2 linked regions of the Tamandua tetradactyla genome follow. The protein of the gene in region 1 interacts with the protein of each later gene in a pairwise test. Links are inferred from orthologs where the notes say so. Each region holds a gene or a part of one and is shown in the gene's direction. Other genes may lie near its edges.

Region 1 (7,996 bases):
ATACATCCATGCCATTCTGTCTGCTTGGAATATTCCCCAACTCACCTAACCCTTCCCCAAGAAGTATGTCCTAAGTCTAGCTTAGTGCATATCTGTACATACATGATCTCCAGAACCTCCAGAGATCACTGACTTATTTGTAACCATTAACAGAAAAGCCCACATGTGCCCACAGCCATGGCCCAAGCCCCAGACGGAGGCCTGTGTCTTGCCCAGACATTTGGGCAATCTGTTCTAGGCATTTCGTAATACCAAGCTTTGATAGAATGGAGTCATTTTCTGCCAGGCATACCAAAGTACCCCCACCAGGTGAAAGCAGGAGAGCATTGGCTTCTGGAACTTATCTCCCTCATCCCATTTTCCATTAGTTTAGAGAGAGGAAGTCAGAGTCCAGGAAGGACACAATTTAAATGACCATGAGGCTAGTGGGTGGATTTGCTTACTGCCTTTCCAAAACACTCAGGGCTAGCTGGAAGGCCAAAACAGATTCTCAAGCCAGACACTCAGGGCTAGCTGGAAGGCCAAAACAATTTGGATTTACAACCCACCTCTTTCTCCCTGCTACTCAGGAGTATCACCTTCTGGGCCAGGTGTGGTGGTCATGCAGCTAAATGTCCCTAATGGACCCCAAGCTCCCCAGAACCCATCCATGGTCCAGTGGAGTCACTGTAAATATTACAGCGTGGACCAGCGGGGCCAGAAGCCTGGAGACCTGTACAATCCTGACAGTAACCCTCAGGTGAGTCCTACAGCCCAGCCCTGTTTAGGCAAGGAGGTGGCTAAATTCTTCCTAAGAAACAGTCTTTACCATTGACTGAACAGCCTCTTTTACAAATCTTCCCCTGGGCACTTTTAGGGGAGAAAACACAAGAAATGGAAGAATACGTCCTCTTTCAGGGAACCTCAGATCTAAGGTAGCAGATAGGATACATACTTGAAAATGCCCAGAGAATACTTAAAATGGTGTGTCCAAATGTAGGCGTTAAAATAATATAAATTAATTATGTAGGGAATAAGGGGGCAATTTTAAGTAGCAGTCTGGTTTGTCAGAGTTCAGCAATAAAGACTTATTTCGTGAAGAGGGGGAATTTTAAGCCAAGCATAAGGAGTATTTGTTTTTGATGTTTATGTGATGGGTGCTACTCTCTTCCACAGGCCAACACACAAATGAGCAGCAGCCCCGTCACGTCCCCTACCCAATCCCCAGCACCCTCACCTGTCACCAGCCTCAGCAGTGTCTGCACAGGACTCAGTCCTCTACCTGTCCTCACACAGTTCCCTCGGCCTGGAGGTCCAGCACAGGGTAAGGGATGAGAGATCAGGGCTGACTGCTGTAAAATTCAGCCTTTTCTGGGAGCTAGTTCTTCCTTTGTATCAGGGAACCTCTAAAAACTGTAACGTCCCTGTTTAAGTCAAGAACACCCACCTCTTTCTAGTGCTGCCCATATTCCTTTATGTACTTAGTTGGAATCACCAAGTAGGTGACTGGTACTGTGGGCTAAGGGGAAGAAATTCATTGAACTTTCTAGTGAACCCAAGAGTTTAACCAGTCAGTACTGAGTCTGAAGGCTAGAAAAGTGGGGTTGTGTCAAACACAGTAGAATTTTAGAAGAGGGAACACAAGATTTGGGTTGAAAGACTTGGGTTCAAGTATTCGTTCCACCACTAACTCACTAGCTTTGTGATGCTGGATGTGTTACTTTAACTTGGAAAAAAACCTCAGTTTCCTGATCTATAAGATGGGGTTCATCACACATAAGATAGGAATCTTAACTGCTTTCTGACCTGGCTGTCACATGCAGTATAAAAACAAGATGAGACTATGGTTTAAAAAGTTAAAAATGCTCGTTTGTATTGGCTCTTACATGTGTCAGAAGATCGACCCCTGGCTTTTGAGGTGGGGAGAATCTGTATGAGATAAAAAACATTTGTAAGGGTCTTTAGTTTCCTCCCTGGTCATTTCATCAAGGCTTTTGTCTACCAAGTAAAGGTGAGGGGATGTAATAGCCCCATTTGTCTACAAGATACAGCTGAGAGCCAGGAAGATTAGGAAGAGAGACAACTCTAAAATCAGTCTCACGGGCACTCCTGTCACAGAAAATATAGGAATAGTATGTATTGTTGCTATCCATTTTCAAAGCCGACCCCATCCCATCCCCAAAGTCTCCTAAAAGTCATACCACAAAGCTCAAGCTCCCAGAAAACCATCTGCTCTTACTGCCTAGGTGATGGGCGGTACTCCCTCTTGGGCCAGCCATTACAGTACAATCTGTCCATCTGCCCTCCCTTGCTCCATGGCCAGTCGACTTATACAGTGCACCAGGTAAGGGTGTCTACCATCCCCTCCTACGTAGCCTTCAGGCCATCAGATTACCCCCTACACACACACACACACTCACTCACTCACTCACTCACTCACTCACTCTCTCTCTCTCTCTCTCATACACTCTCATCTACTCTCATCTGGTCCCCTATCTCTGAGCCATCCACCTTTTCCAGTTCAGAAGACAATGGAAACAACACAGGGAAAATGGAATAAGTGGGAGGGGCTGAAGGCCTTACCCCACTCCTGTACTCATTTCTTCCACCCACCCCAATGCCAAGAGGGAGGGGCTCTCTGCTTCTCAGTGACCATGCCTGGGCATCTGATTGCCTGGAAAGGTGTGATCCTCAGGACTGGGTGCTATTACTCAATCTCTCAGGCAGGAGTTGCAATAGAAGGCAGTTAGTGTTGTTAATCCAAAATGAGAATAGTCTTTTGATTGTTGAAGGGACAGAGTGGATTGAAGCATGGAAGCCGGGGCAAGAGACAAGCACTCAAATCTGCTTCCACTGACCTGGGGACAGCAGATGTTGGTGAGTGATAAAATCCTAAATCCCTGTAAGAAGGTGCCTACCACAAGCCTGCGTTACCAGCCAAGGATGGGAGGGAAAAGCCAGCTTAGGGTGGAAAATGAAAGTGGGAACCATTTGTGCTCAAGAGCAGGGAGAAGAGGGAAAAGTGGAATGTCTCAGTCTTCCCTACCAAACCATCCCAGATTCTTGGGAAGATAGTGGTAAAAATTGGAAATAACACAGTAATGGAGTCACTGAGTCTGTTAGCTGAGAGTCTTCTGGGAGCAGGCCTCACCTGAATATAAGACCTCTACCTTTGGTAGTATTTAGGAGGAGTCTCAGAGATTGTGGGGGAGTAATCCTCCTCCTGCAGGCATTCCACACTAGCCATACAAGATCTCTCAGGATTTCCCCCAGTTGGAACAGTTTGATAAACAAGGAAAGAAAAAAGGAAATTAACTTCCCTAGATGATAAGAAAGAAGATTTTATTTGGGCCAGCCTCTGAGTAGGAAGGGAACTGTGGACATACTTGAGATTGATTCATTGATTTTGTTAAAGCACATCAGCAAAACCCACCCTTCCTTTATAGCAATGGTACCCTGTGAGAGAACTGATTTATAGGTCCCCAGACCATCAACCTGGGATTCTGATTCCCAGACCTTCCTTTTTGCCTACATTTCTAGGCTATGCCAAGAGAAAGGTTCATCTTTTTCTCCTAGTTGCCCTAATCAGAGTCTGGATGGTGGGGAATTGGGTTGATTTGGAGAGGGGAGAAGATAGCAAAGAGGGAATGGCTAGGTTTTTGAGGACCTTGTATACAGACTTGTCAGTTGGATACTTCTCTCCCTTGCCACTGACCAGTTCTCCACCCCCCTGCCACTCCCCATCTTCGGCTCTTACCACTATATTCTCTCTCCTCCCCTTCCAGTCCTGGGGCGGGTGCTGGAGGTGACAGATCTCCCTGAGGGCATCACCCGCACCGAGGCTGACAAACTCTTCACTCAGCTCGCCCTGTCTGGCGCCAAGATCCAGTGGCTCAAGGATGCTCAGGGGCTGCCTGGCGGGGGCGGAGGGGACAACGGTGGGACTGCTGAGAACGGCCGCCATGCGGACCTCGCTGCCTTGTACACCATAGTGGCTGTGTTCCCCAGCCCCCTGGCTGCCCAGAATGCCTCCCTTCGCCTCAACAACTCCGTGAGTCGCTTCAAACTTCGAGTGGCCAAAAAGAACTATGACCTGAGGATCCTGGAGCGAGCCAGCTCCCAATAAGTGAAGGAGGGAAAAGGACTGGCACAGTAGGGGTGGGGACGAGGTGAAAGAGGGTCGAGGGATCCAGATAGACCACTGACAGGTAGAAAACAGGGAGACAGACGCTGAACTGGAACCTAAGACAGTAAGAATAAACGTGGAAGCAAACACTCACACTGGCACTGGACTCCTCACTCCCCTGCCGTCATCCCTTTTCTGTCCCACTTGGCTCCTCTCTGCTTCCCTCTCCTTCCCATCCTCTTCTATCATTTTTTATCTCTCTTCCCACCACAAAATTAATTTTTTTCATATTCTTTGGCCAGGTAGAATTGGGAAGGTCCACAATCCCGTATTCTATTTCCTTACTATCCTAAGCTCCCTTTTATTTTTTGGTCGTTACGAATATATTTATATGGGCAGAATTAAGAAAAACAATATTGATTTCTCCTTCCTCTCACTTCCCTCATCTTGTCTCCCAAACCCCACAGAGTTAAAACTTGGGCCCCCCTCACCCCCCAGAACACTTGTATATTGTTTGAAGTTTGTGCCGCAGTAACAGACACAGTATTTAATTGCACATACAGATGTTTGCTGGGTATATTCACTGTAAATTTTATTTAATCTGGTTTTTTGTTTGTGGGGGGGTTACTTGGGGGGAGGTTGATTTTGTTTTTAAATATAAAAAAAAATCTTCTGTCACTGGACATCAGTCCTCGTTTCTGTGTTGCCGCCCTGGTGTGGGTGGGGGTTGGGAGGGTTTGTTGTGGGTTGGGATGGATTTCCCCTAGCATATGCACATTTATCTTCCTAGCACCATTCCCTCTCTCCGATCCTCCTTCCTGCCCATAATTCTGATGGGTGGTTCTGGGTTTTTCCAATTCTGCCACTAACTGTGGTTCATCAAGCACATCACCTTCTCAACTCTGGATCTCTGTGTCCTTATTAATAAAATAAGAGACTTGGACTGACTAGGTGACCTCCAAGGTTCTTGTCAGCCTGTTAATTCCGTGGTATTCATTTAGGGCCCTTGTGGCTGAGCTAGGGAGGAATAAGGTCTAGAAATGGGTTGAAATGCTGATCTCAAAGCCCATCATCTAGTCTTCTGAAAACCTTCAAGCGATGGGCCTTTCTTTAATCCTAAAACTAGAGGATTGAGCTCTACTTGGCAAGAATGGAAGTGGGTGTTTTACAATAAAAGCTATATTATCTGAACTTACTGTGCCAAGATGCTAGATTTATGCAGGCATACTCAGCTGTCCCTGTCCTTTGCAGATGAAGAAAGTTCAAGAAAAGCAGAGGTCACCTGCCTGCAAGATGGACGTTTTCTATATCTGAGGCATCTCAAAGTTAGCCCTGTTTTTCTGCAGCCTGTTAAACAGGGCCCATTAAGGAGCCTGTAGAGTCAAACCAATAGAACCCTGCCATCCAGTGGCCCCCTTTCAATCTCACCCCACCCCCTTAGGAAAAAGAGCAGTGGGTAGAAACGGCAGAGCATATTGCCCTGGAAAATGTTGGATCTGGGTGACTGTATCTCTAGCCAAGCTCTGAAGCTTGTCTGACCCTACCTCCAACCTAATCCTTTATTTCTTAACAGACACAAGGGATAGTGCAGCACTACATTACCATGTCTAAATTGCTCTCCTCTGAGATGGGGGTTATCTTTTTCCAGCCATGTCACAACCCAAAGAATAGCAGAAAGCTGCATCCCTGTGAGAAAAGAATGCAAGCTATCGTACTGATCCATCAGTTCATATACTTGGGCATCACAGGAAGGAGGTGCATCAAGGAATGAAAATTATTTAGGAAGTGTGAAGTTCAACCATCCTACCTGCAAGAATTTGCAGTTCTCCTGAGGAAAGGAACATTATTTACAGATGATAAAAATTCCCTATGCAGCAGCTGTAAGCTTCTGGCCAGTGTTAACTGAACTATCTCTACCTGGTCATTAGGCCCTCACTCCCGCAAAATCTCTCAGATGGAAGTCTTAAGCCCTTACAATTCACTATCCTGAGGACAAGATTTGGAGATGTGTGGAAAGATCAAGGGAACAAGCAGTAATACAGATTCCTCACTCCTTTACAGGACAGAAGCAAGGCCACCCCTCTTAAACCCACAGTTAATAAAACATTCTAGTCTGGTTGATAGGAGAGCGCTTTCCTATCTTCACCAGTCCCCAGTCCTTTCCATCCTCAAGTTTAAGGTTAGATTGATGCTTGAGGTTATACAAACACATAAGTCACAAGAAGATAAAGGCTGAGAGGCTGAAGTCTGTAGTCCTTAAAGTAGGTACAGAGAGGGCAGAATTGGGGAAGTTTTTGAACCTTGGAGGTAAGGGATGGAGAAATGTTTTATAATTTATCTTTACTTCACCTTTAGTCCTCCAAAATCCATTCAAATGGGTGTACAGCCTGAACCAAAACCATTCCTTACTGAATTTACTACTGGCCTGCCCACCATAGATGAAGAATCAGGAAACGGGAGCTTTGGGGGACGGGAGGGCTAGGGTACAGCCCTGCCCCAGTCCTCCCCGTGTCCAATTTCTCTGTGTCAGCTGTGTTGCTCAGCTGTCCACTTTCCTCCAGCCCTGTCATTTCAACTCTGACACCAAAGGGAGAGGCTAGGAGGTCTACATATACCAACTGGTAGCCGGTGTGAGTACAGAGGGTACTGGGGGGGCTCAGCCCCCAGGGAAGAGGACCGATCCTCCCCCCAGCACCACCACCAAGGCCCCAGGGGCTCCTACTTCCCTCCTCAGGCTGACTTAGGGAATCCCAAACGTAAGTTGCCTCTTCATCCTCTTTCCATTTCTAGGACTGCTCACCCCAGCTGTCCCAATCCTTAGTCTATTCATCTTCTTCATTTCTACTTATCTCCAAGTATTTTAGGAGTGAAGTTATTACCTTACTCCAGGAAGAGAGCTAGGATTGGGGGAGGCGGTGGCAGGTTGGGGAGTGGGGGTTGGGCCAAGGGGATGGAGCAATAGGGAGGGAAAGGCTCATATTACTTTGAAAACTTAAAATAGCTAAGGCCTGTGGCAGGCTGAGATCAACTAGGCGAGAGGCCCCCAGGGCTTAAAGGAGGAGGTAGGAGGGAACAAATGTCTCCAGCCCATTCCTCCATGCATGCATGTGGATGCAGGCATGAAACCTCTTGAAGAGAAGGGGCCCAGGAAGGCATGTCAAATCTCTCTTGCCCACAACCTCCCAAAAGAAAGTGCCTGTAGGAAAATTCCCAAACCATGTAGCTTTGAGCACTGTGTTGAGGCTATAAACTCTGGGGCTGCCCCTCAGGGTAGAAGGTTGGATATCGGTTTAAGGAACAGGTTGGAAAATTCTTTCGTCTGTCTGGATCTCCATGGAGTCTTTCTGTTCATAAGCCCTAGGAAAGAATCTCTAAGCAGATTTCTTCTGAGGCCTCTTCTTCAAGGACAACCCTACTGCTAAGGACAGGAATAAGGAAGGAAAGAATGGCAGTTAGGGATTAGAGTTCATAGTGGGGTCCAACCTCTTGCAGGATGACAGAAAAGGAGGTGCTGGAGCCCCCTAATCCCTCCTTCCCAGCAGAGACTCGTCAAAGTGGGGTGAGTCTGGGCATCTGACCATTGGGTGTGGGAAGGTGGGAAACCATTACAGCCCTTTAAAAAAAGTGCCTGAATTGTTCTTATTTTTATGTGACTCATTTAGAATGCCAGCCAGCACCTACAGCCCCAGTATCCCTTAATCTTGGGGTGTAACCCAGGTCTCCAGCATGGCAGGCGAGAACTCTGCCGCTGAGCCGCCATGGCCTGCCCGATGACAATCCTTTAACATTGGATTTCCTTCACTCCTTCCCTCCCTCAGCTACAGCGGCTGAAGCAGTTGTTCAGGAAGGGGTCTACAGGGACAAAGGACATGGAGCTTCCTCCAGAGCCCC
Region 2 (7,098 bases), on another chromosome or scaffold:
AAGGCAGACCCAAAGCCAAGAGGGGAGACAAAAACAAAGTCACTAGACGAATCCAAAGTCTCTACTGCCCACAGTAAAAAATAAATCCCAACACTGGTAACTATAACAACAACGAGCTTCAAATACAGCCCAACTCCAGATGAGAATATAACAAATCCTTATTACTTCAGTGTCTATCACCCATGTCTGGCTTTGAACAGAGAAGTAGAAGGCATGCCAAAAGGCAAGAAAAAAACACAGACTGAAGATACAAAGCAATCATCAGAACCAGACTCAGATATGACAGAGATAGTGGAACTATTAGACTGGGCATTTAAAATAACTATGATTAAAGTTAAACTTTAATAGAAAAGGTAGTCAGCATGCATGATCAAATAGATAAAAGCTATCAGAAAGATAAGAGATGGAAGCTAGGAGAAGGAGTAAATGAAAATTCTAGAAAGAGTAACAGAAATGAAGAATGCCTTCAAAAGGCTCATCAGTGGACCCGACTACACAGGACAGACAGAGGATAACAGAAATTATACAAACTGAAAATACAAAGAGAAAAAAGTGAAACAAACAGAATGGAGCATCCAAGGCTTGTGGGGCAATATTAGATGGTATAACACATATGTAACTGAAATCCCAGAAGGAAGAGAAACAGAGAATGGGAGCTGAAGAAAAATAATGGTCGAAAATTTTCAAGATTAATTATAAAACATAATAACCAAAATTACAAAAATATATAGGTGTTTATATTTAAATTTGGGGAATAAAGAACTCTTAAACAAGGTGAAAAACCTTAGCACCTCAAAAAAAAAAAAAGAAGAAACGTGACAGTACAAAGTCTGTGTAAGAAAAAAGATACCATAAACAATGCTGAAAAACAATGGATAAATTGGAAGAAAATGTTTGCATGTAAATAACAGAAACAATAATATCCAGAATATATCCTAAAAACAAGGAAGAAAATGACAACACAGTAGAAAAACTGGCAAAGGTTATGAACAGATTTCTACTATAATACAAGCCTCATATCAGCACAGGGGGTGATGTTTCATCTGGTTTGTTCTCTAATTAACCCCAGTAATTGGCACATATCAGGCTTTCAGTAAATATATACTGAATAAAGGAATTCACATCAGAAGAAAAACTAATGCTTATCTACATTATCAAGGTCTTCAACCTCACTGGTAATTAGAGAAAAACAAATTAAAATATGGAACAGATACAAGGAATGAGAGATCGCTATGTAACAGGAGGAAAACCAAGGAACCCCAAGGACTGCAGCAAGAAAGCACCAGAACGCTACAGGAGAAAGCATTTCATTGTTCATGCCTTAATTATGGATTTTTAACCCCTGAAACTGTGAATCAATAAATTCCTGCTGTTAAGCCAACCCACTGTATGGTATTTGTCACAGTAGCCTGGCAAACTGATATGAAAAGCACACTGTGGTCGTGTCAAAAAAATTCCTTTTTCTCTGGAGATGTACACTGACATATTTAGGAGTGAAGTGTTTTGACATCTGTAATTTGCTTTAAAGTGGTTCAGCAAAGGAAAAAATCTACAGACGAAGTAAATGTGGCAAACTGCTTATAATCATTAAATCTGAGAAAAAGTATACAGTGTCTTTTTTTCTATTTTTCTAAATAAAGTTGTGTTTCTAATGAAAACTATAGTTAATAGTGATAATAGCTGGTTAGGTCTGGGGAGTGGACTGGAATTAGGCAAATGAATACAGAGAGCTGATCACACAAGCCTAAGAAAACAAACATAACAATACAAGGATGGTGCACCAACCTTAACATATTCAACTGCTCTTGGAGAAAAATCACAGGCATAAGCAAAGATATTCAGATCTTCTTCTAAAAGTGGGAATAAACAGTTCCCAACTCCACAGCCAGCTTCAAGCATAGTCAATTTTTGATCGTTGAACTAGGGAAAGAGAACTCAAAGATACAGCACATTACATTCGCACAAGGAAGAAAAATGAGAAGGTTCAGAACATAAGAGACAAGGTCTCTGTCCCCATGACGTGGGCAAGTGAACAAATGCCCAAAAGCTAATAAAGGTACCTCATTTGTTGTTCAACTATTCAAGTACTGGGTATTTTGTTGTGGAGGAAAAAAAAGTGCTTAATGGCTGAAAGAACAAGTTCTGGAACTAAATAACCTGCCTGCATTCAAATCCCAACTCCTCTACTCATCCTCATGTCCTATCCCTTGGGCAAATCAAACAGCTTTGTGCCTCAATTTCATCTGCAAGTGGGGATAATAAACATAACACTATTTCATGGAGTTATCATAAGGCATAAATTAGAAAATCTGTAAAATTCTTAGAAAAGGGCTATGATGAGTGTTCCTTAACAATGACTATTAATATTGTTACTCTGTCACTGAAGTCAGTCAGTATAAATTTAATGTTTACAACTTGCAGATTAACTTTAAATAGAAAACGGCTACTGCACTTACCTCCTCTATGCATTACACATCCCGAAAACTAATGAAACCCCTTGTGAGATTAAACACTCTATTTCTCTCCCAAGGTACAAAGCATTTTAATAGGCTTCATAAACTCTCTACTCCCCAATCCTCAGGGAATGCAATAAAGCACTCCTCTCTACAAATTTTAAATGTAGAATGGCCCATATAAGGTGCAAAATTAGCTTACCTCCCTACATGATCTTAGCTCCTTAAACTCTCTGGAAGTCCAGTGTCTATCTTTGAAGAAATTGGTACTATTTCTTTTGTAAAAAAGATCCCAGTTCTTCTGAGCCTCTTTTTCCAGCTTTTGCTGTTTAAAATCAGACACCAAAGCTTGATCTCTTTTCAATTTCTCCTCTTCTTCAGAGCTGAGAATCCTTGCCTGTAGCCCTTTTCTTTGCAAAGAAGCCATCTCATTAAGTTGACCACAATGTGCTTCACACTGCTGAAAATTCTCCACCCCTGTTTAACCGGAAGAATCCATAATATTGCAGAGGCAGGATTTTCTCAGATGAGTTTCCCTATGCCAGGTTCGCCTGCGCCTCAGGAAGCACCAGGGACTTCTAAAGAAAAAAGAATGCGAGTCTAGCTAATGATTCTAGAACAGTTCTTTAAGATGCTGCAACCAATTCATCAAACATTTACTAGATGCTCATTCTACAGAAAACTCTGCTACGAAAGGTCACAAAGAAGACCAAGATATACTTCTTGCCCTCAAACGGCTTACCATCCAGTGGCCAGGCCTGGCTTATGCACCGAACTCTAATTCAAGACAAAATGAGTCAATTTTTACAATAAATTTATATAGTTGTGAAAAAGGACACTCTCAAGATCTGAATACAAAACCTTGGGGGAAAATGCTCATCAATTTTCAGGGCCTGTGAAGGGAATAACTTAACAACAACGAAAGCTGAACAGGAGGCGGTGGTGGGTTGCCAGATAGAAGTAGGATCATCGTTTCCCAAGGTCTGCAGGATCAAGACTCCGTTTTGCTCGGTGACATCGAGATAAGCCCGGGTGGTCCGAGTCTCTAAGTCTCAGATCCCACTCACACGAGACTGTCGTACGAACCAGAGGGGGCGTCGTTTTTCAGAAACTGAAGCTCCCACACCCCTTCACGGCACGAAGGGGAAGAAGATACCCAGTTATGCGTAGCAGAGGGTCCTGAGTACACAGGTCTCCCAGGACATTCTGAATGAACTGAGCCCACTTGCGGACATCTAGGGCTGCAGAGAGCTGGCCATGTTAGCTATCCGACCCGGACTAATTTAGTCGTGCGCTCTAGGCCCACCCTCAGCATTTCTAGGTTCATCTGTTGACCCAGGGCCTGACACACTCACCCCTCAGCCAGCACCAGCGCTCGGAGGCGAACTTTAGGAGCCGCCACAGGAAAACCCGAGCTGGGTCAAGACAGACTTGCGGACCTCGATTTGGGATTCTAAGGCCGGAGTTATTTCGCCATGAAACCTCGCCCGCTACATCCGCCGCGAACCCTTAAGTCCCTCCCCGACACCGGAAATCCCTCAGTCTCGCTTCGTCCGAGTCTCCCCCTACCCCGACGCAGAGGCGGAAACTTCGTTCCAGTCACCGGTGGGGTCCGGCTCGGCTGTCGGTGCGCCCCGGAGCGGTGTTCAGTGAGCACCGCTCTCCCGGACCCCGGCGCCGGAAGCTCGCGCAGCTTTCCCAGCTCCCGCGCCTGGAGAGCGCCGAGCCGGGCGCACCGCCCGTACGGGGCCATGAACGGGACCGCGAACCCGCTGCTGGACCGCGAGGAGCACTGCCTACGGCTCGGGGAGAGCTTCGAAAAGCGACCGCGGGCCTCGTTCCACACCATTCGCTGTAAGTCAGTGTTTCCCAGGGTTACCTAACTAGCCTCAGCACCCCCTCTGGCTTCGCTTGGCTTCCCGAACCTTAGGGAAGCCCCTGCCGACTCCCATCGGCAGCTCCCGATCACTCTTACTCTGAATCCTCCGAGATATCGTCTTCTTTCCTTTTCTCAGGTCACTCCTCCCAAACCGAAGCTTTTGTCACTCCCAACAATTTTTCTCTTGATAGAACCTATTTTTCGAAGGTCATTGGTCCCTCTTTCTTTGCATCCCACCACCCTAATTCTTTAGCCCAGACTCCCCCCCGCCTTTTTATTCCCGAAAGGCTGTGACCCCCTACATCAGACCCCAGTTCTTCTCTAATTCCATCCCGCCTCCCACTTCCTGATGCTTCCACCAGGGTTCTCCACGTTTGAAGGACTCTTCACATTTGTTTATAAGCCTCATCCGCTTCCTCGCACGCCGTTCTCGTCCCCCTTCCCCCCCCCCCCCCCAGCTTTCTTTCCTGGTTTGTCTTGGTTCTAGCGATCCTGGCACTGCTCATCCTCACTTCACCAGCCAGAGGATACTCCTGTCCGCCATCAGCGTCCTCCTCCAGCTTTTCGCACCTCGTTTGACTTTGCTGTCTTTTGAGGTCACCTCTGCTACCCTTACTGTTCCTCTAGACCTCCCCCCCCGCCGTGTGGATGAAGAATAAAATTAGAGTTTGTGAACCTGGGATAGGTTAAAGCTTGGTGGTGGGAAAGCAAAAGAGAGCATAGGCGTAAGAAATGTCAAAGTAGTCATTATGCTGGGCCTTTTTTCCCTACATGATTATAGACTCTGTTGAGGGAGAGGCATTTCCACTCTATATCCTTGGGTAGAGAATTAGCTGTTAGAAATTGGCTGACAGAGCGTCCTGCTGTGATTCACAAGCTCCTGGCTGCCCATCCTGGTAGTGCTAACACTTGTTAAGTCTTGTTTTTGTCAGAGGAACTAATAGATGTGACTCAACATGTAGGAAGAGGGCGGGTTAGATAATGAAGTTCCGTCTTTGTATGGTCACTTGCTATGCCATTACTGTGCTTTCTGAGAGCAGATATAGCTCTTTCCGAGGAGAGATATCAAGAATGTGACAAGGACATCAGTTCCTGAACACTACTTGGTTGATGTTTCTGTGGAGTGAGAAGGACAATGTGAAATTTAAATGAGACGATTTCCTTATGCACCTGGCCACGTTTGGGGCAGGATATACTAACAAGGTGCAAGATGGCTATTCATGTTATACTTTGCATTCCAGAAATATGGGCAGGGTAACCTTTGGAGATACAGTTCAGCCATCTGCTCTGAACATCTGTGGGAGTATGTTTGTCAAAGCTATGGAATTTAAGTATGGCAAGTCCTAATTTTGACAATTCCTCTGCAAGATGAAGTCTGCTTGTATGATGCTGTGGCCATTCATGTTTTCTGTTGGGCTTTGCAGGCAGAGTCTTTTTGCTCTATTGCCTTTGATCCTCATAACAACCCTAATAAAACATCTTACTGTGGATACTGCAGCATTAATTTCCATCTGTTACTTAGGTGAAGGGAATTTCTTTGCTTAATAAAGTGGCATTTAAATTCTAGTTTTTTTCAAAATAGTCCAGTGGGAATAGGAGGAAAAGTATGTAAAGGCATAGGTGAAAAATGATTGTCCCTTGTTGATAATTATTGAAGCTGGTACATGGAGTTCATTGTACTCTTCTCTTTATTTTTAAATTATGTGAAGTTTTCCATAATGAAATAATCCTAAATATGTTCTAAAGTATTTGTATTTGCCATTTATCTGAATAATAAAACATTTTAATTCTTAAATAAGATGCTCTGGAAGCCCTTGTTAGCTGATGGATAAATGCTTTTTCCTTTCCCTTTAGATGATTTTAAGCCAGCATCTATAGACACTTCCTGTGAAGGAGAGCTCCAAGTTGGCAAAGGAGATGAAGTCACAATTACGCTGCCACATATCCCTGTAAGTTTATTCTATTGTTGGTTTTTTTGTAGGCTCACAATGAATTATGTTATTGTAATTTAAGTTTCCTACTGCTTAAAATACTTTAGATTATTTAAGTGTCAACACAAGGAATACAGGAATTTGGGGAATAGATTAGAATTCTTGCTTCCCAAGTGCTTGATTAAAAGTGATTCTTTGCCATTTTCCCCAGAGCTCCTCCTCCACCCCCAATTTAGATGTCATTCCTAAAACCTAGCCACTGTTTTAGACATGCACAACTTTACCCAAGCACCTTTGTAGAGAAGAGCCCTTGGTGCCATGCTGATATACAGCAGCAGCAGTTCAGGGGTGCATGGTATCTAAGCCAGGAGTCATGGCAGTCAGCAGTGAGGCTTTCATCTTTCACATGTCTAGCAGGGGTTCAAGTGCAGTCTGCGAGTCTCAGGCAGGAGCCAGAGGTTCGAAGCATTCCTCTGGCTTTGGAATAAGGAAACCATTAAAAGCTGGATTGAAAACCCTTGTAGACAAAGATCTTTGTGAAGCCCTGCCCAAGACAGTGCTCTGATCCCAAAGCCTGAAGGGTTAGACAAAATACTCTTAATGAACATGTATCATTGCATGTCACAGCCCTGTCCTGGAATACAGGGCTTGGGTAACTAGTGATAGAATGAAAAGGTTCTGAATAGGAAGACCCGGAAAGCTTTGTGCTAAGAAAAAAATCATTTGTTGGCAGTTCAGACTGCTATTTCTTTACTTGTTGCCTTGGACAGGTTACATCATATCCCTTTGGACCTTAGTTTCCCAAATGTAAAATGAAGAGATTGGATAAATGGTC

What was found.
Region 2: the proteins of STAC3 (region 1) and EAF1 interact in binary tests that used the Homo sapiens proteins (3 or more experiments, as listed by UniProt). The two-hybrid records come from large-scale screens. The link is inferred for Tamandua tetradactyla from reciprocal best matches to the Homo sapiens genes STAC3 and EAF1.

Annotation. Positions count from the first base shown.
Region 1 is NC_135333.1:124,433,969-124,441,964, reverse strand, and holds the start of STAC3 (SH3 and cysteine-rich domain-containing protein 3), read left to right. Parts: upstream 1-4,894; 5' UTR 4,895-6,861; intron 6,862-7,597; 5' UTR 7,598-7,598; coding exon 7,599-7,664; intron 7,665-7,923; coding exon 7,924-7,996. Other genes in the region: R3HDM2 (R3H domain-containing protein 2), read left to right, coding at 570-739, 1,156-1,303, 2,226-2,323, 2,772-2,856, 3,765-4,105. UniProt on the Homo sapiens protein: Required for normal excitation-contraction coupling in skeletal muscle and for normal muscle contraction in response to membrane depolarization. Required for normal Ca(2+) release from the sarcplasmic reticulum, which ultimately leads to muscle contraction.
Region 2 is NC_135341.1:73,240,667-73,247,764, reverse strand, and holds the start of EAF1 (ELL-associated factor 1), read left to right. Parts: upstream 1-4,052; 5' UTR 4,053-4,204; coding exon 4,205-4,307; intron 4,308-6,186; coding exon 6,187-6,281; intron 6,282-7,098. Other genes in the region: tRNA N(3)-cytidine methyltransferase METTL6, read right to left, coding at 1,786-1,920, 2,656-2,880. UniProt on the Homo sapiens protein: Acts as a transcriptional transactivator of ELL and ELL2 elongation activities.